7 linked regions of the Danio rerio genome follow. The protein of the gene in region 1 binds, or shares a complex with, the protein of each later gene. Links are inferred from orthologs where the notes say so. Each region holds a gene or a part of one and is shown in the gene's direction. Other genes may lie near its edges.

Region 1 (4,667 bases):
GGATTTCCTGCATATTTATTTTACTTTTCGATTTGTTTAGCTATATTGTATAGATGATGCATACTGTTCATGGATCGCTGTAAATGTACAAGTTTACCGTGTTCAATGTGTTTTACTCTGTTTTATATGTATATATTTTGAACATATTGTGAACTATTTTGTGAAAATGCTCTTAGTTGAAGTTAGCAATGTTATGTGAAGTTGTGAAGTTATATGAAGAGGGTGACTGACGTCACTTGTACGCCAGCTTGTGGTGAAGACAGGAGAGACACGTTTTGGCTGTCTTCTAATTTAATCCATCCTGCCAATTCTGCATAAAATTAATGTCCCAAATTGTTTTGCTGCATTAGCTAACTGACACTGGACTGTTCCATCGCGCCGCGGCCGCATTGGACTCGTGCAGGCAAGGGGAGTGGCTCGTTACATTCACTCCGTGAGGATTTCTCCCAATTTGGATGGACGCATGTCATCACTCAATCGTCAAGGATTTTCGTAGGAAACACATACACTGATTCACAGTCATTGAACTACGTTTTACATTACATTCAGGACTTTGAAGTTTCATATATATAAATATATGTTGAAATTGGGACGTTTAGACAACTGAAACTGTATTTTCCTACTTCTGTATAGTTTTATTTTTTTTTCAAAAAGGGCTGAATTGCTGTCAACATATTGTATTTTATTTATTTAATTTTGTTTGTTTTGAATACATGAGTATGTTTTTATAAGGGCTGAAAAGCAGTTCAGATACAGACCAGAAAATTTGCAATACAGCAAACTCAAAAGTATTTTCTTGTGTTTGGGTTTTTTTATTTTTTTTTATTTGAGCAGTTGGAGATTATAGTATTAATAATATGTAAAATTTGACCACACCATTCAATAATATATTGTGTCGTTAAGTTGAGATATCCCGAACCCGAGATTTCAAGTAAATTGTGTTGAAATTTCATATATACTTTAGAAAGCTCAGACCCAGTAGATAATTTTCCCCTTTTCAGTAAATCAATTTCATAGGTGGGTTACAATAAGACAAAATTAATGATCGTTATCCTTTTGTAAACCCTTTTTCAAAACAATTTATTAATTGTTCTAATCGATTTTGTTAACTTTTGAACACAAGCAGACATAACGTTACAATAAATGTAATTGACGTAAATCTACTCAATCAAAATCCTCTGGAATAATTGCTAATGTATTTTTTTAACCCTGTAACATTTCCTAAAACGCTGGGGACGACGCTCTATGGTCAAAATGAATCACTGAATCGCCTTGACACCGGATATTTGAACTGTTCGATTGAATCTATATTCAAACGATTCAAACCCTACGCACTTCTCAAATGCTATACAACTCTCTTTCCTTCCTTGTTCGTTTACATAAAACAAAATCAGTATTTAAAGAAAGCAATAGCTGTGATATTGCTTAGAAGTTGTGATACTTCTAAGCAACGCGCACTGTTTTTTGTACGAAATAAAGCTGCGCATTGTTTTTTTTTTTTTTTTTTTTTTTAAAGCTGCGCATTGTATCTACGCTGTGGCGTAACGTCTGACGTCATTTACTCGCGCCAGCAACGGGAAACAAACGTGGAGAAGAAGCATCACATTAGCGGATTGTTTTGATCGTCAAAATTTGGTATTAATCATATTTATAGCGCAGTATGGATGACGAGGAAGAGACATACAGACTATGGAAAATTAGAAAAACTATAATGCAGGTAAAGAAAGACATATATGCTTTATTTATAACGTTTCGCACAGTTTAGTGATGCTTGTTCCGGTTTACTATTGAATGGATTTCATGTCTTTTATAAAACCATACACATTTAAATAACAGAAATAACATGATGTAATAACAATGTTGATATTTAACCAACAGCTTTGTCACGATCGCGGATATTTGGTGACGCAGGATGAATTGGACCAGACTCTTGATGAATTCAGGAGTCAGTTTGGAGATAAACCGAGCGAGGGTCGACCACGACGAAATGACCTGACAGTCCTGGTGGCCCACAATGACGACCCGACCGACCAGATGTTTGTGTTCTTCCCGGGTATGTTTTATTCCGCAGCAGCCCTATTTATTTAACTAGTCCGAGATAACAAGGAGTGGTTATTAGGTGAAGTTGGTTTTATATTCGGACAATCTCCTTAATAATATAATTTCAGAAAAGTATTCTATGCTAATTCTAAACAGGGAAATCATATTAGCAGCCAGCTACTATCAAATACATCACTGTTAATTAAATAGTCAAATAGGGCTAATGTTGTTTTAAAGTCATACTTCCATGCGATTGCAGACTGAATATTCAAAGCATCATGGTAAAAATGGACAAACGTGAAACCAGCTTTACCTCAGTGGAGTGGTTGATCAATTTTGTATTTACGTTAAAGAGTTTAAATATATTGAAACTTCAATTTTGCTTTCAGAGGAACCAAAGGTTGGCATCAAAACCATAAAGATGTATTGCCAGCGCATGCAGGAGGAAAACATCACCCGCGCCATCATTGTAGTACAGATGGGCATGACACCCTCCGCCAAACAGGTGCAACTCGCACATTTACTAATGTTTACAGTTCTAATGTCGAGCACTTTACAAGATAAATACGTTTTTTTATCTCTCTCTGTCACATTTCAGTCTCTGGTCGACATGGCACCAAAGTACATACTGGAGCAGTTTCTTCAGCAGGAGCTTCTAATCAACATTACAGAACACGAGGTGAGGAGACTTAAAGTTATAGCTCACCCAAAAAGTGAAAATTCTGTCATCATGTACTCACCCTTGTTCCAAAACTGTTTGAGTTTATTTCTTCTGTTGACAACAATGTTGGAAAGCAGCAGCCATTGACCTGCTGTAGTATTTTTGTTCCCGTTAAGGAAGTCAATGGCTGCACGGTTTTTAATTCACTGGTGGAAAAAAGCACCTTAATGTTGTATCACTTACTGTTAGTCCAAAATCACATTCGGAGAACTATTATATTTTTAGCTGATGAACAATAAAAAAATCCACAGCCAATCAGAATCTCCTAACTTAAAAAGCCAGTTTACACAGAAATAACTCTTCTGACATCATTTAATCTCCGTCCACTAGTTTCTAGCGTTGAAGTTTCTTTCTTCTTTTGAACACAATGGGCTATATGCACACAGACTTTTAATATGGTTTCCGGTGCCTTATATATATATATATATATATATATATATATATATATATATATATATATATATATATATATATATATATATATATATATATATATATATACACACACACACACATACATGATATAAAGTGCTATAAAGCGGTGTGTTAAATTATTTTACCTCAGTATTTTGAATGGAGTTTCTGCGCTAGCCTGCTGCCATTGACAGCGCTAGCAGTTACACAGTCTATTATCTCATTTTATGCTTGAACTACTAAATGAATGCTTAAGTTTATTTAAGGGATTGTATTTCAATTACATTACGATGTTGTAAAAGCAACCTTATAAATAGTCACAAAAACCTTTTACTGTTGGTTTAAAAACACTAGCTGTTCATATTGCCCATTGAAGAATGATCCATTGAATTCCACTGTATAATTTGGTTCTTTGTGAAGAAAATCTTGTTTCTCTTGATCAGAGATGCCCAAACTCAGTCTTAGATGGTTTAGATCCAACTTGCTTCTGCACTCATGCCTGGAAGTTTCTAGTAGAGCTAGTAAGAGCTCGATTAGCTGGTTCAGGGGTTGGAGCCAAACTCTGCAGTGCCGAGTTTGGGCACCTTTTTTTTTCTTGATAATTAATATATTCATCATTTTTGTTTTGAGCACTTTTTTAAGATGCTTAACACTTTTATCTAATTATCCTTTGCAATAACTATGGTTTCATGTATTTCAGCTTGTTCCAGAGCACATAGTTATGACAAAAGAAGAAGTGACTGAGTTGCTGGCGCGGTAGTATCCTTTCATGAAAGATGCTTAAGTTTACAGCAGTGTTATTTTCATATTTCTATGGTTTAGCTCAACTTTGTGTATTATATATGTTTAACTCCAGTTGGATAGTTCACAGTACATGTAGGTCACCTTAACCAGCGCTTCTCCAGTAAGCTAAAGGAAAGCCAACTTCCCAGAATTCAAGCTGGGGATCCCGTTGCACGTTACTTTGGCTTAAAAAGAGGCCAGGTAGGAAATCAGCCCAATTTTTAGCTCATTTTGATTGACCGCAATCAGCTGATAGTTTGTGAATTTGTGTGTGTTTTTCAGGTTGTTAAGATCATCAGACCGAGTGAAACGGCTGGCCGATACATCACATACAGATTGGTCCAGTAATGTTGGTGAGCTCTTGTCTTTTATTAACCTTTAAATAAAGCGCTTCACTTTTTCCACATCTTTCTATGTTACAGCCTTATTCCAAAATGGGTTAAATTCATTTTTTCCATCCTCTACACACAGCACCCCACAATGACAGTGTGAAAAAAGATTTTATTGAAAATAAAAAGTACACAAGTATTCACAGCCTTTGCTGTAAAGCTCTAAATTGAGCTCTGGTACATTGTTTCCACTGATCATTCTTAAGATGTTTCAGCAGCTTAATTGGAGTTCACCTGTTGTAAATGCAGTTGATTGGACATGATTTGAAAAGGCACACACCTGTCTATATAAGGTCCCAGCATTGACAATGCATGTCAAA
Region 2 (4,634 bases), on another chromosome or scaffold:
TTCTAAACTTGTTCACTTCTCTCAATCGATTGATTGACTCCACGGTCATCAACATGTCTTGAGCGTTTTTATATATTATTTAATTTTATGGTTTAATCACAGATAAGGTCTCTCTTCTCAGTCTTGAGCAGCTCAAGGAAAGTGCCTGTTTCCTTTTAGCCAACTTCAGGTGCCGTGAACAGCAGGAAGCAGCAGAGTCGTGATGGGAAAGGCAGAGAGTGCATGTAATATTTATATACCAGATAAGCAAGTGAGCTAGACTCTGTATAATTTTCCCTTTTCGCCCACAGCCTCCCACAATCTCTATCCACGCTATGCGGCGTCTGTGGAGGACAAGTGGGGATGTAAAACGTGCCACACTGTAGGGAGAGCAATCCGCTGTTTCAGTGTGAAGAACAAAACCCACACCTGCAGTTACTGACTGTTCCTGATTTCCATTGCCAACAATGCTGTGTTTTGCATAGAGAACACGAGGAAACGCATGGGAGGCAGTAAACCATGAAATTGGCCCAGTGGTGAAAGAAGCAGCTTTTCTTCAAAGAGGTGGGGAGGAGGAAAGGAAGCATTGTTGATGGGCACAATTTATTTTATTTTTGTTACATTGCACATTTAAGCCACAATTGCATTAACTGGAACTTTATATATTTATAGTTTAAATGTTAAATATGAGGCATCTTAAATTTGCTAGGGTTTTTAACAACAAACAATAGAAAGGTCATGATGAGCAAACGAGAATATGAACACTATTTTGTATTTGCCTACTATTTGTTATAATTTATTAAAGAATAACAATAGAAATTCTGACTCAAGCAGGCTGATTGTAATCCAGGTAATGAGTAGCCTACCACCATTTACTGTCAGTTTTATCTAGCTATGGATTTTTGCGCCATCTACTGTCCATTGACTGTGACACATCTTTGTTTTGCAGGAGAGACATGCATTTACAATAAAACAAGTAAAATAAATGTATAATTTCTATATAAAAATAATTATGAATCGCAATTTATGTATCCAAGATAAGTTAATAGAGAATTCATGATAGAGTCAATACTTTATTATTATTATTATTATTATTATTATTACTTATCTGTCAAGCCTAAAAATAATTTAGTTACATTCCAGACAATATAAATGTTTAACAACATAATATAGAGCAAATACATAAAATAATTATATGGGATAATATAATTCCTACAATGTGGCAATGTGCAAATTGGGGGCTATGCCTTGTTATCTAAACTTGAAGTATGAATTATTATTATTATTATTATTATTATTTTGATTCACATATATTTATACAATATAATTACATTTCATTAATAAAATAGATGTTTAAAATTATACGTGTAAATGAGTTGAGTTATACTGTAAACGAAGAAAAAAATAAACATCAAAATTGTAATTAACATGCACATATACATATTACACAATATAGTAAAATGAAATAGCCCTACCAAAGGGTTCTAGATCAGTGGGCCAGGGCCTACTGTAAAATATTACGCTGAACAAACGAGTGACTTTTATTATGAAAAACGTATAGTCGGCCATGTTGAAAGCGAGTATGCTCACGCTGAAAACAGAAAACAAAAATTGTCTCATGTTTTGAAGTTCAGCTTACGTTTACACCATGGACGAACAAATTACTGTAAGTATCTCTAGTGTGTATTTTGTCAGTCTGCAGTGTTATGTGGAAATTCGTTATACTCTGTGAGCTGCGGTGCTGTTTCTCCAGGGTGGATATAGTGAGCCATGCGGACAGTGCGCTGCTGTGGACTGGGGAGTGTCAGACGAGGGTCAGTTCTTCTGTAAGAGCTGCCACAATGTCATCGAGGTGGGTTAATAGATATTTTAATATATAGTACATTAATACATAGACAGAAATCACTTTTTTTTTACATATGTATAGTTCTTCCAATTCCTATGAGCTTGTTTAAATGCATGGACAGGTATGAAGTTGTCGTATGTATTATAATTTACTCACTTTTCTGCTGATTTTCATTATGCTGCTGACTTTAATAGTTATATTAACATTTAATTTAATGATTGGTTAATTAATTTAAAAAAAATCATTAAACAAAAAGCTAATTAAAGCAGGAGTTGGGTAAATAAATATTACTAATTATTATCATACTCCCCCGGTTGATTGATTTATTTTTATTGAAAGCAGACATAAATGAAAACTTTTCATTTTATGAAAACTAAAATAGTATTTTAGTCACGTAAAGCTTATGCAGGTTTTATGAATGGGTTACATGCACAGAAGTGTTGTTCAGCCGAATCTTCAGGCAAACGATTGATGTGACTAATTTCAATTGCATAAGGGACCTTTTACAGCATCGATAATGTAGATTTTTATTTAGTTTAACAAAAAAAAAAAAACATCAGTAAATAGCGCTTTTCTGCCCAGCCTGCTCTACTGAGCTGAAGTTAGTTTTATAATCACATTGGTTCATTGTTTAACACTAGCCCCTTTCACACATACAGACCTTTCCGGAAAATTGGCGGCAATTTTCCGGCAGGTCCTTTTTGAAAATACCGGTAAATTCGTTCTGGCTATTTTCCGGAAAGAGAAGTTGTAACATTACCGGCAATTTGCCGGAATGCTGCGCTGTGTGAATGCAGAAGGAAGATTCCCGTAATAAGCGCGTGCACGTCTAGAACGTGCTGACGTGAGACGTCTGCTTTAGCCAATCACAACAGTCAGACGCATTTACGTCCGCGGGGTTTGTGAGAATAAAAGCCTTTGAATATTTTTCCAGACACATTTAGCTGCTAGAAGTTAGTCAGATCACGTTTATATGTTCTTCTTAATGCCAACTGTGTAAATAATCATCGATGAGATGCTTATGATAAGCCGTTGTTTGTTTACCTTCAAGCTTTGCGTGTGCCTGTGAAACAGCCTGTGAGCGCCTGCACACGCAGATATTATGAACATCTCGACATGCGAAAGTGATCCTGCGAAAGTTGTTCACAATATTGATCATCCACAGAGTTTGTAATTTAGTCAAATGTTTACAAACACAAGCGCAGCCGTTTAAAGCTCATTTGTGGTGAATGATGTCAGAATTTACCGGTATTTTGGAATGGATGTGTGAATGCTCTTTTCCGGAAAATTTCCGTAACGTCCTTACCTGTGTGAACAGGGCTTTTTTGAATATACCGGTAAAGTCGTTCCGGAAATTTTCCGGATATTTACCGGTATCACTGTGTGAAAGGGGCTACTCACAATCTGTGAAGTGCTCCTATATTGTTTACCATGCTACGCTGAATATTCAGCCTGAAATAGCATGTAAATATGGCTTAGTAATAAGTGTAATTCCTGCATGCCACCGGCCAACCACTAAGCATACAGTAGTCGCTGTAGGACAAATCGTGTGAAAGAGTGAGACCAGCGATCCTTGCATGCATTAAATATTGTACATCATGACAAGTTTTGCTTGCGACAGAACTGAAAATGTGCTAGATATATAATACAGTATGTCGTTCGGAATTGTAGTTTTATAAGTACTATAAAGTTTTCTAACTGGCAAATGACACAATCTAGTGATTGTCTGCTGTCAACTTTAAGCTGCGCGTTCATGATTTCAGGAGTCCTGGCTTGGGATGGCTGGGGTTTTCTAAGATATGCTAACGGATAGCATTTTGGCAGATTACCTCCTGCACCTTTAAACTGACAAACAAAACAAAAACGTTTGGTGTAAGACTTGCTGAAGAAGCTTTATGGCTCATTTCAGGAGAACAAAACCAATTTTTAAAAAAAAACAGCATCTGAAAACGTGTAATATAATAGAAATCTGCAGGCACAAATTTATAGTGCTATAAAAGAAACACTTTATGATGACTGTTTTGTCTACAGTGTCTCATCTTAATGGCATGATGTTATAAGCTTTACACACCTAAAGCATGTTGCTTGTTTTAACATCTTCTAGAAAATAAGGGAGGTAGAGGATGTTACCAGCCTTCATCATAAGCATGGCAGGATCTCAATAGTCAGGAAACCCAAGAAGAAAAAACATGGTCAGTCCAGCTTTACTTACTGTTTTTATTCTTGTTGATCATTTCTAACAGGATATTGTGCTAAAATGAAAAATTGAACCTGACGCCTCTTATGTCTGTTTTCAGATTCTGAAAGGGAGTGGTTGGTCTGTGAGGGATTTCAGTTCATCCTCAAACACCAGGCCAAGGCTTTGGTCAGTCTAGGTGTTTGTATGAAGTTTGAGGTTAGTGCTCTTCGTTTACTGAATCAAATTAAGTAGTTTGCACAGTATTCTTATGTTGTTAGATTTTATATTTGGTACATTGATCTCTTATGTAATTATGTAATTTTCTGTATAATTTGTTTTACTTTATTGTAGAGGTTTTTTTTTTTGTGGGTGCAAGTGTAAAATATAATGTATAAACAGTGCGACTTGTAGGATCATTTTACAGGTTAAACCCAAAAAGGACTCTCCTGTCATGTCACTTGCAATCGACACTAATAAACAGGAAGTAAGCCTCTTACAGACTATGTTTTTAATGAATGATATAGCTGAATAATTAATGATAAAAATGTGATTTGAAGATTTAAAAAGAGGGTGGAGGGATTAATTTGATTACACACATCACTGAGCTGAAATGTTTGTGACTTTGTTTTC
Region 3 (4,012 bases), on another chromosome or scaffold:
TAGTGAAAGTGTGTATGAACACTGAAATGATTCAATAATATTAGCGATATGACTTCAATGTTTATCTGTTGGACAAACTTTAGGCCTTAAAAAGTCTTAAGTCTTCTGACTTATTGTGTTGTAGGTTATACATCTTTTTTTTTAACAGGTTTTAATTTTCCTTTGTTCATGTATACCATTCTGGCCCTTAACACATGTACAATCACCAACAATCCCAATCTCAATAAAACGCTTAATTTTCTAATATGAAAATAGCATTTAATTTCTTTCCGTACAGTAACACTTGTTTAAAAGTTTTGCATTTATTTACTTCTGAAGATACTGACCTGACCAATAGTTTTTTATTATCAAAATATTATTATGATTGTATTGTTAAATGTATTAAATTATAATAATTTTTAAATAGGGCAAGTTAAAAGTCTTCTCCAACTGTGGTATCACAAATATCCTTAGCATTTAGCCCTGTATAAGCCTAAAATTGAATTCACTATGGTCTTAAAAATGTCTTTAAAAGGTCTTAATTTAACTTGGTGAAACCGGCAGAACCCCTGCTTTAGACCTATGCCGTTATTCGGTTAATGAATGTGTTTGGGATTGATATCATGGGAGCTTCAAAATATTCTGGATAATTATTTATTATTTAACGTGTGCTTATTAGGAGTATACACATTGTATTTGCAGTGGATTTTTGTATTTGCACCATTTTAGCCATTGCAACTCTATTCTAAATATGAGTTAAATATAAAAGATAAATACAAAAATGAGTTAAAATGATAATAAAATAACTTGTATGTATGAATGTGTTGTCTTTTACAGTCCACACTTACCAGGTGAGATTGTAGTTGCCAATGAGCAAGGAGCAGCGTATTTGTGGACTCCCAAAAAAGGGTAAGTGTGTGTGTGTGTGTGTGTGTGTGTGTGTGTGTGTGTGTGTGTGTGTGTGTGTGTGTGTGTGTGTGAGTGTGTGTGTGTGAGTGAGTGAGAGAGAACAATATGTGCTTGACTGTTATCTTGTGCCTAGAGCTCAGTGTACAAAACTCCAACATCTTCATCAAATCCACTACAAAAGGTTCTTTAGATGAGTTTGTCCAGTACCTAAGCTTATAGTAATGTTTTAATAAGATTAGTTTTAGATATTAGAACAGCTTGACCAGAAAACCTTATTTGTTATGTTAAATTCAAGTTTCAAAGCATTTACTATAATTAAGAATTCTCTTACACAGTGGTTCTCAAACTCTTTTTCACCAAGTACCACCTCAGAAAAAAATTGTCTCTCCAATTACCACCATAATGAGCAGTATTGAAATTCATAGCGTAGTAGGTCCAGCAAAGCAGCCACAGCTCTGCACAGTTTAAAACATGGCAAATTAATTCCTATTATTAATGATATTTATTATTATCGACCACTTTAAAGATTATAAATAGTTTGAACATTAACAATGTGCTTTTTAAAAGTTAATAAGAATGGTAGGCTACTGGTTTTACAAAGTAAAATAAAAAAACTCCTGTACTAAAATGTAAAGTATTAACATATAATATCCGATTCATCAAAACCTGTAAATGTTTCTTTATGAATATAGGCTATTCAACACCATATTGATATATGAACCATTTTTGATAAAATGTGAAATGTATGTAGCATGTACAAATGACATTTGATTCCTCTGCGTACCACTAGAAGCAAGCCCGCATACCACTAATGGTAAACGTACCACAGTTTAGGAACCAACGCTCTAACACTTTGATAGCTGCATATTTTTATATACTGAGATTATACTTTTTTCACCATTTTATCATATTTTCAGGTATTTAATGTTGATTTATTGTCACATAAATCAGTGTTATTTTAGTATAATTTAGTTTAGTAAATTATTCATTGTTTGAACATTTAGTTTGTTTAATCTTCAGTACTTGTTTGTGTTGTTGTGTTTTAGTTCTGATTGTTTTTGTACAATTTTTATTTCAAATTGAACCTTTATTGAGTGAATTATTAGTTATACTTATTTTGGGTTTGAGGATGAGGTTTTGTTCTGTTTTCATGCCCTTGTTTTGGTTTTATTTTAATTAACTAAACAGTTTTGGTGTAGGTCAGTAATAAAACTGGGCAGTTCTTCCAGAATTTTGCGAGTTCAATGGATCTTGAGATTATTAAAAAAATATTTTAAAAGATTTCTGTGTATTTTCACAGAAAAAACAGAATTTTAGTAAGTTTTGAGAAAAACATCACAAATCCCATTTTAGGCTGCAAACAAACACGCACATCTATATTTATATATGACTGTGATTGGCCTTGAAGGTCACTTCATTTACCAAACCGTTTAGTGAGTGTAACCACAGATACAGGGACACTGGAGCGTTTTAAAGCTGTAAAGTTCAGCTGGTCTGTTTATAAGCTGACATACAAGAGATCCCCTGATGAATTGACTGATCATCACGGCTTTAAAACGCTCCAGTGTCCCTGTATCTGTGGTTGCACTCTGTAATCAGTGGTGAGTTTGGTGAAATGATGACCTTCACGGCCAATCACAGTCATTTCTGTTGAGCATGTGAACAAAATGACAAATCAGCGATGTTTAAGAATGAGCTCAACAGCGCTCAAATGTTAGCGGGAAATGGACGTTTTTAAAATTACAGTACCAATTGGCATCGAATTCCAGTATTGAGACAACCCTAAAATATATATGATGTCCCTGCAAAATCCTGGAGGCACTGCCAGAAAATATTTAATTAATTTTGACTTAAAAATACAGATAATTTTATATTTGACACTTGCGTTATTTTTATTTGTATATTTTATCTTCTGTGCTATATTAAACAGCCAGTGCAAATGTCAAGATTTTCTGTGAAAGATTTAAATTTGTGTTTTTTTTCTTTGTTAAATAAAATCATCGTATAACTTTATAAGATATGCATAACAGTGCAGAATTTGTTTGAATAACAGTTGTGTTATTTTAAGTGTGCTTTCTGAAACGTGAAAAAACCCAGACTATTAAAAAAAATCTAAATTTCAACCTGTCATTTCATGTAGAATCAGTAAGGAACTGCTGTATTTGGGAAAAGTCATTTATTATAAACACAAGAACAACCAAATATCGATGATTCCCACAAATTATATGTAATTTCCTTATTGCATTCATAACAACCGTACATCATGCATGAATCTTCAGCAAGTTCCTCCATCAACAGCTTCAGAGAACAGTTTTCACTCTTAAACTGAAGTTTATGATTAATCAAACCTGTTTTTTTGCAGTAAGAATAAGCTGTAGTTCTGTAAATGAGCTGATGTAACCTGCACCACATGATGCAGCGTGTGAATGTTGTAACTCTGTTCTCTTCCAGATTGCAGAAGTTTCGTGAAGAAGATGCCAACCTGTACTTTAATGCCAAGTCGCCGTGGCGATGGTGTGATTTCTCCTGCCACCCGAGAGTGTTGGTCTATGCTGACAGAACAGGGGCGGAGCTTACAGACATACGGGTAAAGACTGAAATATCACTGAATAAAACCTGCTTATAGATGTTATAATGTTTTTTTTTTCCAGAGACAATGCACATTCTATAATTACAGAAAGGTATAATGTGCCAGAATTATCCCAAAGGCTTTTTTCCCCCTCTGTAGTGACTGGAATGATGCTAAAATAGTCACCCTAAATATATTAAACAGTTATTTAATTTATAATAATTACAAGCTTCAAAATACATATACATTTTTCATCATTCCTAAATAATGATTCTCTAAAAATAGACTGACTTTTTATGTCGAGGTCAGACTGCATGATTTTGGCCCCGATTTTGACTCGCCAACAAGTTTAGAGAAATCGCAGACAAATGTGTGAAATCACAGGCAAATCACTGCTTGTTCACGTGAGTAACAGTCACACAGAGTGAACCTTCAAAGACACCATCTGAGAGAATCGACGATGAGTTGCTAACAACCGTGAGATATTTGGCATACTAAATATCTGGAGCTGTCGGTGATTCAAATCATGCCGTGTGAAATGAGTATTCTGAATAA
Region 4 (2,745 bases), on another chromosome or scaffold:
ATTTTTATATATGACACTTTAATTCTGCCGTTTTGTGAAATTGTGGGCACGCTCACATTGGTGACCATTTGTTTAGTCATGAAATGTTACACATCAGCGGTAAGCATGAGTGAGAATTGTACGGTTTGCACAGGCCTTTAGCTTTCAAATGTTTATTCTATCCTTCCATCTCTGAGAATTTTACTTGGTTATACTTGCATTAAGCCATGGAGTGCAGAATTAAAGACTGTGAAGTGGCATGATATATTCAACAAAATCAGAATGAGGTTGTTTCAAGTGTTTGAAACAGCTTGCCAAATGAACTTTCTAGAAAACATCTCTTCGGCTAGCACATTTCAGAGCAGCTTCAGTAAAAACTAAAGTAAACCAGCAACACTAGCTATGTTTCCTTCCAAAAATGTGAATTAACTTTATTCGCACACCTTTTATGCGATATTCTAGTTTTGTGCATAAAGCAAAGTTTCCATCCAACAAGTCAAACAAATCAAAATTGTCACTTCCTAATTAACTGGCGTCAAATATCAAAAGTAAAAGGAACTTAATTTCCTGAGGTATGAGAAGCTGTGTGAATCTTTTACTTAATTAAATAAATGACTTGTGCCTCAGAAGATGATGCTGACACGCAGTTAACGCACAGCACAGACACTCTTAGCAGTTCTGGAGGTAATATAATAACACTAATACTGAATTGGTTAGGGTGTTTCAGACTGACCAAAATAACATTTCATGTTTTACAGTGTGCTAAGCCTGCTGGTTTGTCGACTCACACACATCTTTTATCATCACATAATCAAAATCAATGACTTTTTTTAATGCGCATACTAAAATTTGTTTAGTGAAAGTCTTTATACGCATTTTTTCTTATCGAATAAAAAGTTATTTTTATTTAACTCTTTAACTTCTTATCTTGGCGTTTTTTATTTTTGGCGTTTTTTACGTTTTTTATTTTATGTGCATGTTGGATATGCGTATAAATAAAAAAAAAAAGTGGATGGAAACATAGTTACTGACACATTTATTTCACAGTCAGCACTGTAAAGCTGCTTCCGTTTAACCAATAACTTTTGTAAGGGACTAAATAAATGTGAGCTGATTGGAGGGTCAGAGTTACATTGCTATGACTATATTTACACATCCAATTGCTACTCCCAGCAATGTTGGAAATGTTTTGCTGAGTATATTGCTGAATGGAAAAAGCAAAGAATGAAATACTTAGCTTCAATTATATCAAGTCTTTAACAGTATGTCACTGTGTATTAGACCTACTTAATGTAGCAACACATTACACCAACTTTTTCCTTTCAAATTTTCAAAAGCACTGCCAGAGTTACTGACCATTTTAACTCTTGATTATTTCAATATTGTAAATAAAATCCTTTTCTCTCTCCCCTTTAGTGATGTGCTGCTGACAGAGGATGCGGTGCGCAGGTATCTCATCAGAAAGCCCATGACCACTAAAGACCTGCTGAAGAAGTTCCAGACTAAACGCACAGGCCTCAGCAGCGAGCAGACGGTCAATGTGCTCGCGCAGATCTTAAAGAGGCTCAATCCAGAGAGGAAGAACATCAATGACAAGATGCACTTCTACCTCACTGAGTGAAACTCTGAGCATCCATCACCAGCAGCCTCGCCTTCAGGAATGCAGCTCATTTTGGTGAACACCTTCTTTGTTTTGCTGTCATTTTGCTTTTAACAGTCCAGTGTTTATTTACAGTAGTCATTAAACTGCTGCTCATTGAGTTAAAGCTGAGAATACCGGAGGTCAAGAGTAAAATGACAAAGAAACGTTGCAAAGAAAGATAGCACAGTGAGTTTTTGTATATTGTAGATATGGGAAATGTGTGTTTGTAAATTTCACATTTATGCATCTTAATGAGAAGCTGGTTAATGTTTTTCCAAGAAAGAAATTAAATAAGGACTCAGAAAATGTGAAGATGTGGCTTTTATTACACACTCATTTGTTCTCATAGATTTTTTTTTTAACTGGCTTAACATTGTGCTGATTTTAAAAAAAAAAACTGTAAAAGGTACCACATTTTGCTGGCGCTTGCCCTTCGTAGTATGTTAAATCTGTTCTGAAATAAATACCTATTTGTTTTTATTTGAAATTTGATGCTCTCTATGCAATAATGATTTATTATTTGAGAGGAAAGTTAATAATGGATACAAAAATTGACATTGTACATAGAAGCAGTTGACTGGTCTCATCTTTTTTCATACTCCATTTATATGATAAATTACATGAATCTGATCTATTCCCTTCATAAATTCTCCAGAGGCTTTAGTTCCCCCCAAATAGTCTCTTTTTTGTGGTTATTCAAGGAAAAATACATCAGACTGAAAATTGAATCAACAGAGGTCTATTTGGTTTTCAAGACAGGTGCTATGATCAGTCCAGCCTCAGTTGTTTTACATGGGCAGGTTTCGGCATATCACAGAGATGCGGCGATGACGTGGAACCTTCTGTCCAGAGAAAAAGGACTCTTCATCTTTTAAGATTTCATGGGTGAATTTAAATCGTGCATCATCCCTGTTGATTTAAAGTAGTAGTGTTTTAGAGGTAAAATTACTTCATATTCTATGATAACAGAAATTTTATTTAGTTCTCTTATAACTTGAGAAATTTTGGGGGGTGGGGATAATAAATATGTAAATATTTACCGTAATATATAAAGTGAGCGCCGACTTAGAAGCAAATCCACCCGATCTGTGGTATTGTTTTCCGGGACCAGTCGCATTATACTA
Region 5 (4,570 bases), on another chromosome or scaffold:
ATATTAGTTTTTGCTGCTGACTGATAAAGTCTGTCTTGTGATGTCATCTAATATTGTAGCAAGTAACCTGCATTCAAATTAGCATCACTAAAACAGACCACTTCTCAATACTCATTCCTGTTAATGAATACAAATCGTATTAAATCATTTTAAGGATACAACAATATAATTTAATACACAGCAATAGCAATTTTAAAAGTTTAACAATTCAGTCATGAGCAGAAAGAAAATGCACAACATAAAATGTATTTTAGGATATGATATCATAATATGAAACTTAAATAAATCAAATTGATTTCCTCTGTAACAAATAATAGACTGTGAACCCAAAAGGGTCTATTAGATAAAAAATTATATGTATATATTATATTTATAATGGCTAATAATTCTGACTTTAACTAATATAAAATGAACCCGTGGATATATATCCATGCTTTTATGCTAAACAACCAAAATTGATGCAATGAACAAACTTTTTTATGTCAGTTAAACTACCTGGGAATTGAACCCATGACACTGGAATTGCTTAAAATAAGCTTGTTAGATAAATTTATTTGATTGATTTTCATATATTATATTAATACATTATACTTTTAAAGAAACCAAAAGTTAATGTTATACATTTATGCGCTTCTTGATATAATTACATATTCAATTTTAGTTTTTAAAGAGTTAAATTGTTGGAATGTGCTAGTTGCAGGAATAATGTGCTGACAAAAAGTTGAGTATATGATCAATTGAATTCTACCAAACAGATTGTTTTTTTTTTTTTTTTACAAGAATGAAAGACAATGATTCATCATCTGTTTGTATGCCTGTATAAAAACTGGCCCTGTAAGACTGCTCTCTGAGCAACCAGGATGGAACCTGTATTTCTTCTGTATTAGTCCCTTGCTGCAAGAACATCTAGGAAAATGAATCTTCCTGAGCCTTGTAATAATTTTTGACCCTGACAAGCTTGACTGTCATCGGAAATAATTTCCTTCTTACCTGGTTGGCTTGCTCAGTGAAGGACTCAGTCATTTTAACTGTAACATTGGCATTGGCTTCTTCATTGGCACTGAGATCAATAGAGGCAACCCACTGAAAACCACAAACACAAACATGTTCCTTATTGACATATTACAGGCCAGAAGAAATGCATGAATCGATATAGTTAATGAGAAACACATAACATTGTTTTGAGTAAATTAATTATTAATAGTACTACTAAAACACGTGAAGCGTGTCTGATGACACTGAAAGGGGGGGAAATAGTTATTTTCAATAATGTGTCTTGTCTTCTGGGTTTATACAACTTACCCAGTGTTTAGCTTTGAAATACTGCACACATGCCGAGCCCAGAGCTCCTTTTCCCCCGTAAACAATCACTTTCTGTGCATCTGTAGCTGCCATTCTGTCTTCACGAGCACGAGACCGTGTTATGCAAAGAAATCAGAACATGCGCCTCCTACTGGAAAAGATGAGAAGAGCACACATAATTGTATTAGGATGGGTTGCGTATGGGTATAAGCTTAAAATAGACTTACCTTTTTTTAAAAATAATGTTTTTCGAGATTAATGTTTGAAAATAATCCATTAATGCTAATAAATATAAATGGGAACATCGCAACACATGTAAAACGATTTCTGACCAGCAGGTGGCAAAGGTCGTCTTTGCAAACTGCGCGACTACAAACAAAGAAGAAGAACACTTGTCTTCCGGAGGAAATACATGTAGTTGTATAGCATAGCTAGCGTTCTATGACAAGCTTTTCATTTTGCTTTGTCAGTAAGCTGATTGCGTATGATAATTGGAAATAATATTTAACATTCCTCAAAACTCTTTCTCTCGGAGAGAGAAGGCAGTGACAGATTCAGGTAACGTAATGCTCACAGTTTCTTTCTTTGTGGATGTATTGCTTCATGTTTGATGTGTTTAGGATGTTTCCAGTTGATACCATTTGTGATTTTAGACGATTAGTTAAGTTTCTAGGTGTTAGATGTTCACTGTGCAGTTCACTATGGAAGTATTAGCTGTCAATAAGTAGGCTTATAAATCTCAGTATGTTAGACGAGGCTAAACCTCCAACTGACCTCATAGATCTCAACATGAGCAATGTGCTTTAATATCTAAGTTAAATATGAGGAATAAAATTAACATCTGTCTATATGTGTGTCTATAAATGAAACACCAAATGTCCTTAAAATCTTTGAAAAGTGTTACATTTATTAGTGGAGACTGAATTAATAGCAGCCCCTGTTATCTAAACATACATGGGGGGAAAACTGATCACATAATCATTTACTGTAATCTATAGAAGTTAATAATAGTAATGATTAAGAAATATAAGGAACATATCACGTGCTATAGAGGTAAAGTCGGTTTTTTATTCGCACATTCGGACTTCCTCCTTAATATAATTTCATAAAAGTACTATTTGCAAACTCTAAATAGCGAAATCATATTAGCAGCCAATGATTATCAAAGTACATGTTCACAGTCAAATAAACAGTGTTCAAGTTTTCAAATTACACTTGCAGTTTATTTCAGACTGAATATTCAAGGTGCCGTGGTAAACAATGTAGGGAGTGTGTCACAAATTGCCACTGAATGAATGTGTAAATATAAAACCAAGTTTACCTTAATATATATGCTGTGGCTATATAATATGTTCATTTAAAAGTTATTGTTTAATTGAGCACTCATTCGTGGTTTTGTTTTCTTAGGTTTCATCAGTGGTGGAAAGACTACTGAAAAAATATACTCAAGTAAAAGTATCATTACTTGACCAAAGAAATGTAGTGCAAGTAGAGTAAAAATATCTGTTGTAAATATTAAATATGAGTAAAAAGTAGTCCTTTTAAATGTCCTCAAGAGTAGTGAGTATTACGCTGTTAAAAGCTGATGTATTTACCGGTACATGTAATTTGTAAATGTGTGTGTGTGTGTGTGTGAGAAAACATAACATTCTGTAGTGCATTTAGTGACAGTTTAACCAGTTAAATTCCATGGAAAGTGGTTTTGTTTGAAAGTGTAGAAGCTATATTTTATGCACATATGCATCACTTTGGTTTTTATTCTACTGTAAAAAAGTTATTTACACTTAATATCATCTCAAAAACATAGCAAGAATCAGATGCTTTGTTTCTAGTGAAGACTTAGAGAAACTTGTTCATGCTTTTATCAGCAGCAGGGTGGATTACTGTAATGGACTCCTCACTGGTCTTCCTAAAAAGACAGTCAGACAGTTGCAGCTCATCCAGAACGCTGCAGCCAGAATTCTAACCAGAACCAGGAAATCAGAGCACATCACACCTGTCCTCAGGTCTCTACACTGGCTGCCAGTTACATTCAGAATAGAGTTTAAAGTATTATTACTGGTCTATAAATCACTAAATGGCCTAGGACCTAAATACATCACAGATATGCTCACTGAATACAAACCTAACAGATCACTCAGATCATTAGGATCATATAAACTAGAAGTTCCAAGAGTTCAGTCAAAGCAGGGTGAATCGGCTTTTAGCCACTATGCCCCTCGCTGCTGGAATCAGCTTCCAGAAATGATCAGATGTGCTCCAACATTAGGCACATTCAAATCAAGACTGAAAACACATCTGTTTAGCTGTGCCTTTACTGAATGAGCACTGTGCTGCGTCCGACAGATTGCACTGTCGGACACAGATCATGTTTTTCTCTTCTTCTTCATTCTTTTATATCACATTTTACCTGTTTTTATGTTTTTTAATCAGTTTTATTATTTGTTTTTATTTTTATTTTTATTTTACTTGTTTCTTTTATTCTTGTTTATGTAAAGCACTTTGAATTGCCATTGTGTATGAAATGTGCTATATAAATAAACTTGCCTTGCCTTAAACATTGGTTCAATTTCATATTTTTCACAAGATTCATATATGACACAGGTACAAGTTATAGCTCAAATTAAATCTCTTGTCCGTGCTCATGAGGTTATAGCGTTCTTTTTAGTGAATTATATTCACATCAAACAGTTTTCGAATAAATCGCGGTATTTCCATGGCCCAGAAGTGAAAACAATACATTCATGATCAATAAGCAGCTCCAGATAGCACAGACAGCGGTCATCTCTTACCTTATGCTTTTTAGGGCCTTTCTCCTCTGTTTTTGAGGTGATGTGCATAAGTAATCCTTTTATATGTCCGACGTGGTCCAAACACAGTGAATTATGTTTGATCAAACAGAAGAATAGAGAAATATGAATACAATGATCGATCCCTGTGGCTTGTATAGCACCTCTCATCAGTTGGAATACAATAACTTTTTCATAGATTATGGTAAAGAGAGACATTTTTCTTTTTTTCCATGATTACAGACATGTGCAGGAACCACCAAAATTAATTTACTGCAACCTAGACCACACAGAACCTAAAAGGTACACTTTCAAATTTGAGTTTATAAAAAAAATACAAAAAGCAAATTTTTTTTTTTTTTTAGGTGTTTATTATAACACAGAAAACATTTATTACAGTTATTTTAAACACTTTTAAAGTGTTTCCTTTAAAATGACACCAAATTTTTGCATTTACACCTCTGCATGTGGATTTGGGT
Region 6 (4,572 bases), on another chromosome or scaffold:
CCTGTGGTTTGTAATGTAATCTGCAGCACAAATGTCTTGATACCTCAGGCTGTTGATGTTGCCATCCACTCTGCAGATCTCTTGCACGCCCCCGAACTGAATCTAACCCCAAAACATGATTTTTTCTTTACCAAACTTGACTGATTTCTGTGAGAATCTTGAGTCCATGCGGGTTCCAATAGGTCTTCTGCAGTACTTGTGATGCAGTTCAACAGATGACTCATCAAAAAAAAAAAATCTACCTTTTGCCACTTTTCCAAATGATCAACTAGTTGTCAAGTTATTATTTGTTGCTCTTACAACTGGGATTGACAACAAGACTTTTGTCGGGCAGTGTAGAACAAGAATCATTTGATGACATTGTACTGAAATATCAGTGCAGCCCCCAAAATTAATTGATTTGTTAATTAGTCAGGTTTTATAAAAATTCTGAACTTAGGATTTCTCATAGTTAATTACACATGTTTATTTATTCATATAAAGGGTACTTGGAATATTTCTACACTACTTACTCAGCAATCAGAACTGATTTTATTTTAATTCTGAACGTAACAGATTGATTGATGTTGTTTCTGAACTCCAGATAGTGATTATTGTTGTTTAATGTATCTGTTTATATCTAAACACCTGTATTTTTGATTCTCACCTGTCAGACACCTGCTGCAGATCCACTTTCTTCTCATTATGGATGAGTTTAGTGATGTAATGCCGCAAAACTCCGACGAAGAATGTGATGAAGACTATGGGCAAAACAACCCAAAGGCGAATACTGGAGTCTAGCAGCAGCTCTGGACCTGCCATTTCTATGCTGACTGAAATCGAACTATAAACACTGACACTTCTAAAGTTTTTTTAAATGAATATTCAATTCTGGAATTAATACTACGATGAAAAGTCAAACGGTGGTGTAACTACATAACTTTTAGACACATTTCTGTATGAACATGCGCCATTTGAGCAGCTGCCGTATGACCTTTGAACTAGTAGCGATTCAAACACGAGTCGTTTTGATGAGTCGGATCTTTGAAATGAATTGTTCGAATCGTCTTACACCGGTTTAGGTGGTTTGTGCACGAAATGAACACTCTGAACCGAGTCTATTTTGTACCGAGTCACTTTAAAACTTGACAGTTTTTATTCGCAGACATAGTAAATACAGATATTTTATGAAATTGGGTATATATAGCTCTAATAAAATCTTTGAAGCAATCAGGTATTTTAATTAACACGTTTTGAATGAGAAAGAATTTGTTGGAAGTTGCGTCAACGCTTTAAATTATATTGTATTTACAAATATATTTGTCTTATTGAGAGAATTGTTCTAATAGGTAAACATTAATTAAATAAAAACGAAACGTAGATGTTCATTATAGGAAAACTATAAAACAAAAGTTTAGCTAACGCCATTTCCGGTTTAGACCGAGGACGTTTCCGCGTATCTTGTAAACAAGTGTGGAGCCACGTGACAGACCGAAGGAAGGTTTAGCTTCATTTAACGTACTCGATACTTCATATATTTGCTACTACAATATATTAATCTGTCATATGTAAGCTTTAATCGCTGCATCAGCCCAGCGACGTGCTGTTAATGTTTGATGCACATTAATATTAGAAACATCGATTGCTATTAAATAAAACTTCGATCTGTTATCATCTCATATCATGACTTCTGGCACATCTGTTATTAATGACAAAGTCTTGCAGTATGAGACATTCATCAGTGAAGTATTAAGACGAGACCTGCAGTAAGTATCATTTAATATGGATATTTTGCACGTACACGAAGCTGCCATGGTATTAACGTTACCATGCTTGTACGTTAATTCCATACAAATACAGCTCTATGCTAATCTATATTGTTTAAGCTAATCTATTATGAAATGCTACTATGTGTTCTGGAAACATTATGTACGCTTGTCCAAAGTACTTGTTTAAATGAGCTGAATCAACACGATTCTTGAGTTTTTTTTAGCACAACTACATTTTTTTATTTCAGTTTACTTAAATTTGTAAAAACAATAAAGTTAACTTGATCGATTTGTGTTGGGACAAGATGAAGGAATTAATAACCCTGTGGAACCCAGTATAAGGAACACTATAGTACTTTATTGTAATTTTAATGGTGTTTTTAAACAATACTATAGTAAAGTGAATTGTACTATACACACACCAGCCACTTTATTAGGTACACCTTTCAAGTCCCGGGTCGAACCCACTTTTGCCATCAAAACTTTCTTAATCCTTCGTGGCATAGATTCAACAAGGTACTGGAAATACTCCTCGGAGATTTTGGTCAATATTGACATGATAGCATCACGCAGTTGCTGCAGATTTATCGGCTGCACATTCATGATGTGAACCACCAGTTCCACCACATCCCAAAGGTGCTCTATTGGATTGATGTCTGGTGACTGTGGAGGCCATTTGAGTACAGTGAACTTATTGTCATGTTCAAGAAACCAGTCTGAGATGATTTGCGCTTTATGACATGGTGCGTCCTGCTGGAAGTAGCCATCAGAAGATGGGTACACTGTGGTCATTAGGGGTTGACAGCAACAATACTCAGGTAGGCTGTGGTGTTAAATAAATTATCCCCCACACCATTACACCATCACCACCAGCCTGAACAGTTGATGCAAGGCAGGATGGATCCATGCTTTCATGTTGTTGATGCCAAATTCTGACCCTACCATCTGAATGTGGCAGCAGAAATCAAGACTCATCAGACCAGACAACGTTTTTCCAATCTTCTATTGTCCAATTTTGGTGAGCCTGTGTGAATTGTAGCCTCAGTTTGCTTTTTTATCTGACAGCAGTGGCACCAAAGAGTGGTCTTTTACTGCTGAAGCCCATCCGCCTCAAGGTTTGATGTGTTGTGCATTCAGAGATGCTCTTCTGCATACCTCGGTTGTGACGAGTGGTTATTTGAGTTACTGTTGCCTTTCTATCAGCTTGAATCAGTCTGGCCATTCTCCTCTGACCTCTGGCATCAACAAAGCATTTGCACCCACAGAACTTTTTTTTCCCTTTGCACTATTCTCTGTAAACCCTAGAGATGGTTGTGCGTGAAAATTCCATTAGATCAGCAGTTTCTGAAATACTCAGACCAGCCCGTCTGACACCAACAACCATGCCACATTCAAAGCCTCTTAAATCACCTTTCTTCTCCATTCTGATGTTCGGTTTGAGCTGCAGCAGATCCTCTTGACCATGTCTGCATGCCTAAATGCATTGAATTGCTGTCATGTGATTGGCTGAAACTTTCGTTAACGAGCAGTTGGACAGGTGTACCTATTAAAGTGGCCGGTGAGTGTATGTATTATATTATTTAGTATATGTAAGTATATAATAAATATTGTGAACTGTTAAACTGTAATGGTGTGCTTCAGTATTTACTATAGTAAACCCTGTAGTTGTAGAAAACCACAGTATTAGTTGTTTGTTTATAATGCTATAGTTGTGTTAATAACTATAAAGTCACCACAAAATATTAATTCAAGTACTATACTATAATATGATTCAAAATACTATAGTATTTACAATAAATACATTAGTATTTTTTCATGTAAGTTCTTTTTGCTCCACCAGGAAAGTGGTGGAGCAAAAGAGATGCTGTGGATGAGAAAATACGGCAATACCTGCAGCTGAAGAACACAATATAATAAAATATAGTTCAAGAACACTATAGTATTTACCATAAATTACTATAGTATTTTTTCATTTGAGTACTCTCTGCTCTGCCAGGAAAGTGCTGGAGCAAAGAGATGCTGTGTATGAGAAAATCGCACAATACCTGCAGCTGAAGAACACAATACAAAGCATTCAGGTATGTGAGATTTGCATATGTATTTGCATATTTTGTGCTTATTCTTATGTCCTGACTTATTTGTTTTCAGATATAGTTTGTGCTGTGTAAAAAATTTTTACATTTACTATTACTGTCCATCTCAGTTGCTCTCATTCTGCCTTGTGCGCTTTTAATATGTGGCTGTGTTTGATTCACCTTCAGGAAAGCGGCAGCAAAGAACTGAAAACCGATGTTGACCTTGGCTGCAATTTCTATGTGCAGGCTCATGTGTAAGTGTTGTTTGCATGACGTCTGTGGTGCTGTGCGTCAGTGGAGATGTTGAACATTTTTTGAAAGGGCAATCTCATTTCTTTTTTTCCAGACCTGATGCATCAAGAATATATGTGGCAGTCGGATATGGATTCTTTGTCGAATTCACGCACGCAGAGGCTTTGAAGTTCATTGAAAAGAAGACAAATCAGCTCACAGAGTAAGAGGATTTTAGTAGTGCTGTCAAACGATCGAGATTATTTGCATCAAAATTAAAAGTTTATATTTGCTAAATAGATTTTTGTGTCTAAATATACGCATGACTATGACTTTAAATTTATTTATTCATTCGTTTTCATTCGACTTAGTCCCTTTATTCATCAGAGGTCGCCACAGTGGAATGAACCGCCAACTTATCCAGCAAATGTTTTAGACAGTGGATACCCTTCCAGCTGCAACCCAGTACTGGGAAACATCCATACACTCTAATTCACACACATACACTACGGCCAATT
Region 7 (4,012 bases), on another chromosome or scaffold:
GCTCTCGTTTCACATACACAAATCTCAATGCTGCTGCTGCTGTTGTTGTTGCTAGCTCAGCTAGCTAAACTGAGCTCACATTAAAAAAATAAAAATGGTTGGCTGTCGTAACCCAACTGTGGGTAATTAATTCTTTTCAATTAAATTTAAATGGCTTTTTTAACCCAGCGGTTGTGTTTGGACATATTTGACCTAACATTAGGTTACAACCACCCAGCCTCTTACAGAGTATAGTGTTTTTAAAACATACTGTACAACAAGTACAATTAATAAGCTTTGGTGATTCTGTAGTTGTTGGTAACACAACAACTATGACCAAATGACCCAATACTGTACTATTCTACACCTACAGGACCTATTAAACAACAATACAACACAGTTTACTGTAGTGAAAACGACAGTATATTACACTATTTATTAGTTTATCAGTTCACTGTAGTTAAAAAAGTGTTGCATAATACATGGTTCAAAATCAATATAGTGTTCACTATAATTTAGAAGTAGTCATACAGATTGATTCATATATTGAGATTATACCATTCATCCTTAACTCTATTCTGGAAATATTAAGTAATGAAGATATAAAACATGGTTCAGTGCGCAAAACACCCACAGTGGAATCATGTTCTGCAGGTTGTATGTAAATACGCCATTTACATTAAACCAATCGCTTCTGTTTGACAGAGATTTAAATCCAGGCCTCGTGTTTAACACTGTTAATGGGTGTTCACATCATATTAAACACATAAAATATCAAACTAAAGCTCTCATTTCGCATGCAATACTCTGTGTTGTTGTTGTTGTTAGCTTGACTAGCTAAACTGAGCTCACATTCAAAAAAACAAACCTGCTAGGTTCTCGTAACCCAACCTTGAGTTAAATATGAACAAACCTAATGTTAGGTTATTTTACCCCTAATTATATTTAACTGACACCTTTTAACCCAGCGGTTGGTTTGTTTTAACATTAGGTTTCAACAACCCAGCATTTGTTATCAGCACACTGGATCTTCAAGGACGCGCCAGCCCTCATGTCATTTTCGCCTGTACGTCACATGTAGGATCGACATTCTAATGGAACTCTTTTAAGTCACAGAATGTTACAAAGTTGCAGTTTCCCCGCGGCGGCGGCCGATGCGGCCTTTATGACGTCAGCAGCGCAGAACTTTTATGATCCAGCATCCCGAATAGATGAAAAGTTGCAGATACTCACTGCTGCATTCTTCATCCGCGCAGCGCTTCAGCTCCGAGAACCGCCGGTCCGAGCAGCTCCCGCCGAAGCACGAGCACAGGAGGAGGGTAAAAAGTGAGTAAAACCGGGGATTATTCGGTGCAGCCATGCTGGCAGCTGTTGATCGCGGAGCCGCTGCCGACACGTCAGCAGACCGGAGGCGAGCTGAGCTGCTTCAGTGAGGAGGAGAGAAGCTGGAGTCAGGTTACAGAGCCTGCGCTTAAAGAGATAGCAGCACCAACAACACACCACACAGATCAGCTGGGGGAACACTGGCTCTACACTGTGCTGTGAAAATATATTTATCTATATATAATTTAATAACAAATATCTAAAATAAAATAAATACATTTTATGTAGTGTGTGTAGGGGCATGCTTATGTTTTTATTTATTTATTTATTTGGATTTGTTTTGGTGTGTTTATTTGGATTTTTTAAAAAGTTTTATTTAGGTAGTTATTATTTACATTTGATCTATTCTTTATTGTTTGGTTTTATTGTGATTTCATTAAATTTTTATCTATTTATTTGTTGAGATTACATCAAAAACAAAAAAAAGAGATAAGAAAACAAATAAAAAGACCAATTAATTGCTCCTCAATTAATAAGGTCAACTAATTAATGATGGTTAGTTCAAATCACAATTTACACTATTAACTACTGCATTAGGCGACGCAGTGGCACAGTTGGTAGTGCTGTCGCCTCACAGCAAGAAGGTCGCTGGTTCGAACCTCAGCTGGGTCAGTTGGCATTTCTGTGTGAAGTTTGCATGTTCTCGCTATATTGGTGTGGGTTTCCTCCGGGTGCTCCGGTTTCCTTCACAGTCCAAACACATGTCATACAGGTGAATTGGGTAGGCTAAATTGTCCATAGTGTACGAGTGTGAATGAGTGTATGTGGATGTTTCCCAGAAATGGGTTGCAGCTGAAAGGGCATCCGCTGCATGAAACATATGCTGAATAAGTTGGTGGTTCATTCCGCTGTGGCTACCCCAGATTAATAAAGGGACTAAGCCGAAAATGAACGAATGATTGAATATATAAGATATTAACTTATAAAATATTATCCTATTCTACATTCCTAATCAATGCATAAACCAAACTATACCTAATGAACCATAAGCAGCAAATTAATAAATTATTGAGCTAAAAGTCTTAGTTTAATCGTGAATCGTTAATTCAAGTGTGAATTATAATTTCAAATAAAGTGTTACCAAATTAATAGTAAGATTTAATATTTCAGGCATGGTGGCTCAGTGGTTAGCACTTTCACCTCACTGCAAGAAGGTTGCTGGATTGAGTCCTTCGTATTGTTTCTCTCATTCCTCTAGTGCTGCAGGTGGCGCTATGACCCGGTCACGATCATCGCTTGTTTTTATGAAGAAGAGTTTAGTTCACATCCTCACATGTCCAAAGAAGTCCACAAATTCACAAGTGCACTATTTAGTGAGTCAATAGTGTTTATAATAACATATTTCTTTCATGCCTCGTTCATCATCATCATCTGAATAGGAAGGCCAGTCGCCGTATTGCACTGAGAAATGGATGACATCGAAGCTGAGCTCAACATTGCAGAAACACACGCGGATTTTACACAAGATGAAAGTGAACATCGGCAACGGCTGAAAAGACCAGTCCAGCTTCACTGTCAAGTTAAAGACCGAGGTAAAGTTTCATTTACACCCTCATGTTTACTCTAAATTCATTATAATGCACCCAGAATGCGTGTAAAGTTACTTGTTTTCGCAATTCGGAGGGTTATTGCACACAAATAAGATAAGAGATTAAGCTGGGATTCTGAGGGACATTCTAAAGCACTTAAAGTGGCTTAATGCACCTAAACATCAAAACATCAACATTGAAGTCCATTAAAAGGAAAAAGCTTAACGTGGCTTAATGTAACGTTACCTTAACAAGCGGGGAAAATCAAATTTCTATCAAATTTTACTCATGACACACTTTCTGATGACAAAAGTATGGAAGCCCGTTCCAGCCTCTGAATAAAAATAAATAAATAAATAAATAAATACAATGTAAAAACAAATTATAAAGTCAAAATTCTAAGTTAAGTCAAAACCTTGAGATATATAGTCAGAATTCAGAGTTATAAAGTCGCAATTCCGAGTTAAGCCAGAATTGCAAGTTATAAAGTTAGAATTCTGAGCTATAAGGTCGCAATTCTGAGTTATAAAGTCGCAATTTGATTTATAAAGTCGCAATTCTGAGTTAAGTCAGAATTCTGAGATATAAAGTCAGAATTGTGAGTTATAAAGTCAGAATTCAAAGTTAAAAAGACAATTCCGAGTGTTAAAGTCGCAATTTTAAATGTTAAATTTCGAGCTACAAAGTCGCAATTCTAAATAATATTCGCAATTCCGAGTTATAAAGTCGCAATTACGAGTTATAAAGTCCCATTTCCTAGTGATAAAGTCGCAATTCCGAGTTATAAAGTCACAATTCTGAGTAATAGTCGCAATTCCCAGTTATAAAGTCGCAATTCCGAGTGTTAAAGTCGCAATTTCGAGCTACAAAGTCGCAATTCTAAATAATATTCGCGATTCCGAGTTATAAAGTCGCAATTCCGAGTTATAAAGTCACAATTCTGAGTAATAGTCGCAATTCCCAGTTATAAAGTCGCAATTCCATATTGTAAAGTCACAATTTCGAGTAATAAAGTCACATATCTGAGTTATAAAGTCGCATTACCGAGTAATAAAGTCGCAATTCCGAGTTATTAAGTCACAATTCTGAGTGATAGTCGCAATTCCGAGTTATAAAGTCGC

Evidence for each region.
Region 2: polr2eb (region 1) and taf1b share a complex: the UniProt entries of both Homo sapiens proteins name them as parts of the pol I pre-initiation complex. The link is inferred for Danio rerio from reciprocal best matches to the Homo sapiens genes POLR2E and TAF1B.
Region 3: polr2eb (region 1) and taf1c share a complex: the UniProt entries of both Homo sapiens proteins name them as parts of the pol I pre-initiation complex. The link is inferred for Danio rerio from reciprocal best matches to the Homo sapiens genes POLR2E and TAF1C.
Region 4: polr2eb (region 1) and gtf2f1 share a complex: the UniProt entries of both Homo sapiens proteins name them as parts of the TBP-based Pol II pre-initiation complex. The link is inferred for Danio rerio from reciprocal best matches to the Homo sapiens genes POLR2E and GTF2F1.
Region 5: polr2eb (region 1) and gtf2e2 share a complex: the UniProt entries of both Homo sapiens proteins name them as parts of the TBP-based Pol II pre-initiation complex. The link is inferred for Danio rerio from reciprocal best matches to the Homo sapiens genes POLR2E and GTF2E2.
Region 6: polr2eb (region 1) and uxt share a complex: the UniProt entries of both Homo sapiens proteins name them as parts of the PAQosome complex. The link is inferred for Danio rerio from reciprocal best matches to the Homo sapiens genes POLR2E and UXT.
Region 7: polr2eb (region 1) and taf1a share a complex: the UniProt entries of both Homo sapiens proteins name them as parts of the pol I pre-initiation complex. The link is inferred for Danio rerio from reciprocal best matches to the Homo sapiens genes POLR2E and TAF1A.

What each region holds. Positions count from the first base shown.
Region 1 is NC_133197.1:17,299,001-17,303,667, forward strand, and holds the start of polr2eb (DNA-directed RNA polymerases I, II, and III subunit RPABC1), read left to right. Parts: upstream 1-1,569; 5' UTR 1,570-1,660; coding exon 1,661-1,717; intron 1,718-1,878; coding exon 1,879-2,053; intron 2,054-2,429; coding exon 2,430-2,545; intron 2,546-2,638; coding exon 2,639-2,719; intron 2,720-3,875; coding exon 3,876-3,934; intron 3,935-4,080; coding exon 4,081-4,159; intron 4,160-4,240; coding exon 4,241-4,306; 3' UTR 4,307-4,311; intron 4,312-4,667. UniProt on the Homo sapiens protein: DNA-dependent RNA polymerase catalyzes the transcription of DNA into RNA using the four ribonucleoside triphosphates as substrates.
Region 2 is NC_133195.1:32,285,968-32,290,601, reverse strand, and holds the start of taf1b (TATA box-binding protein-associated factor RNA polymerase I subunit B), read left to right. Parts: upstream 1-1,534; 5' UTR 1,535-1,627; coding exon of another isoform or gene 1,628-1,645; intron 1,646-1,732; coding exon of another isoform or gene 1,733-1,831; intron 1,832-3,929; coding exon of another isoform or gene 3,930-4,017; intron 4,018-4,122; coding exon of another isoform or gene 4,123-4,220; 5' UTR 4,221-4,455; coding exon 4,456-4,488; intron 4,489-4,634. UniProt on the Homo sapiens protein: Component of RNA polymerase I core factor complex that acts as a GTF2B/TFIIB-like factor and plays a key role in multiple steps during transcription initiation such as pre-initiation complex (PIC) assembly and postpolymerase recruitment events in polymerase I (Pol I) transcription.
Region 3 is NC_133196.1:7,081,412-7,085,423, reverse strand, and holds part of taf1c (TATA box-binding protein-associated factor RNA polymerase I subunit C), read left to right. Parts: intron 1-816; coding exon 817-888; intron 889-3,339; coding exon 3,340-3,475; intron 3,476-4,012. UniProt on the Homo sapiens protein: Component of the transcription factor SL1/TIF-IB complex, which is involved in the assembly of the PIC (pre-initiation complex) during RNA polymerase I-dependent transcription.
Region 4 is NC_133178.1:32,749,268-32,752,012, reverse strand, and holds the end of gtf2f1 (general transcription factor IIF subunit 1), read left to right. Parts: intron 1-1,395; coding exon 1,396-1,600; 3' UTR 1,601-2,108; downstream 2,109-2,745. Other genes in the region: alkbh7 (alpha-ketoglutarate-dependent dioxygenase alkB homolog 7, mitochondrial), read right to left, coding at 2,410-2,530, 2,662-2,745. UniProt on the Homo sapiens protein: TFIIF is a general transcription initiation factor that binds to RNA polymerase II and helps to recruit it to the initiation complex in collaboration with TFIIB. It promotes transcription elongation.
Region 5 is NC_133176.1:24,433,267-24,437,836, forward strand, and holds the start of gtf2e2 (transcription initiation factor IIE subunit beta), read left to right. Parts: upstream 1-1,719; 5' UTR 1,720-1,860; intron 1,861-4,570. UniProt on the Homo sapiens protein: Recruits TFIIH to the initiation complex and stimulates the RNA polymerase II C-terminal domain kinase and DNA-dependent ATPase activities of TFIIH. Both TFIIH and TFIIE are required for promoter clearance by RNA polymerase.
Region 6 is NC_133183.1:10,252,897-10,257,468, forward strand, and holds the start of uxt (protein UXT), read left to right. Parts: upstream 1-1,444; 5' UTR 1,445-1,662; coding exon 1,663-1,745; intron 1,746-3,744; coding exon 3,745-3,826; intron 3,827-4,009; coding exon 4,010-4,077; intron 4,078-4,169; coding exon 4,170-4,277; intron 4,278-4,572. Other genes in the region: zgc:86609 (ER membrane protein complex subunit 3-like), read right to left, coding at 647-801. UniProt on the Homo sapiens protein: Involved in gene transcription regulation. Acts in concert with the corepressor URI1 to regulate androgen receptor AR-mediated transcription. Together with URI1, associates with chromatin to the NKX3-1 promoter region.
Region 7 is NC_133195.1:55,114,769-55,118,780, forward strand, and holds part of taf1a (TATA box-binding protein-associated factor RNA polymerase I subunit A), read left to right. Parts: intron 1-1,212; coding exon of another isoform or gene 1,213-1,339; exon of another isoform or gene 1,340-1,379; intron 1,380-2,620; exon of another isoform or gene 2,621-2,741; 5' UTR 2,742-2,770; coding exon 2,771-2,894; intron 2,895-4,012. Other genes in the region: mia3 (transport and Golgi organization protein 1 homolog), read right to left, coding at 1,213-1,339. UniProt on the Homo sapiens protein: Component of the transcription factor SL1/TIF-IB complex, which is involved in the assembly of the PIC (pre-initiation complex) during RNA polymerase I-dependent transcription.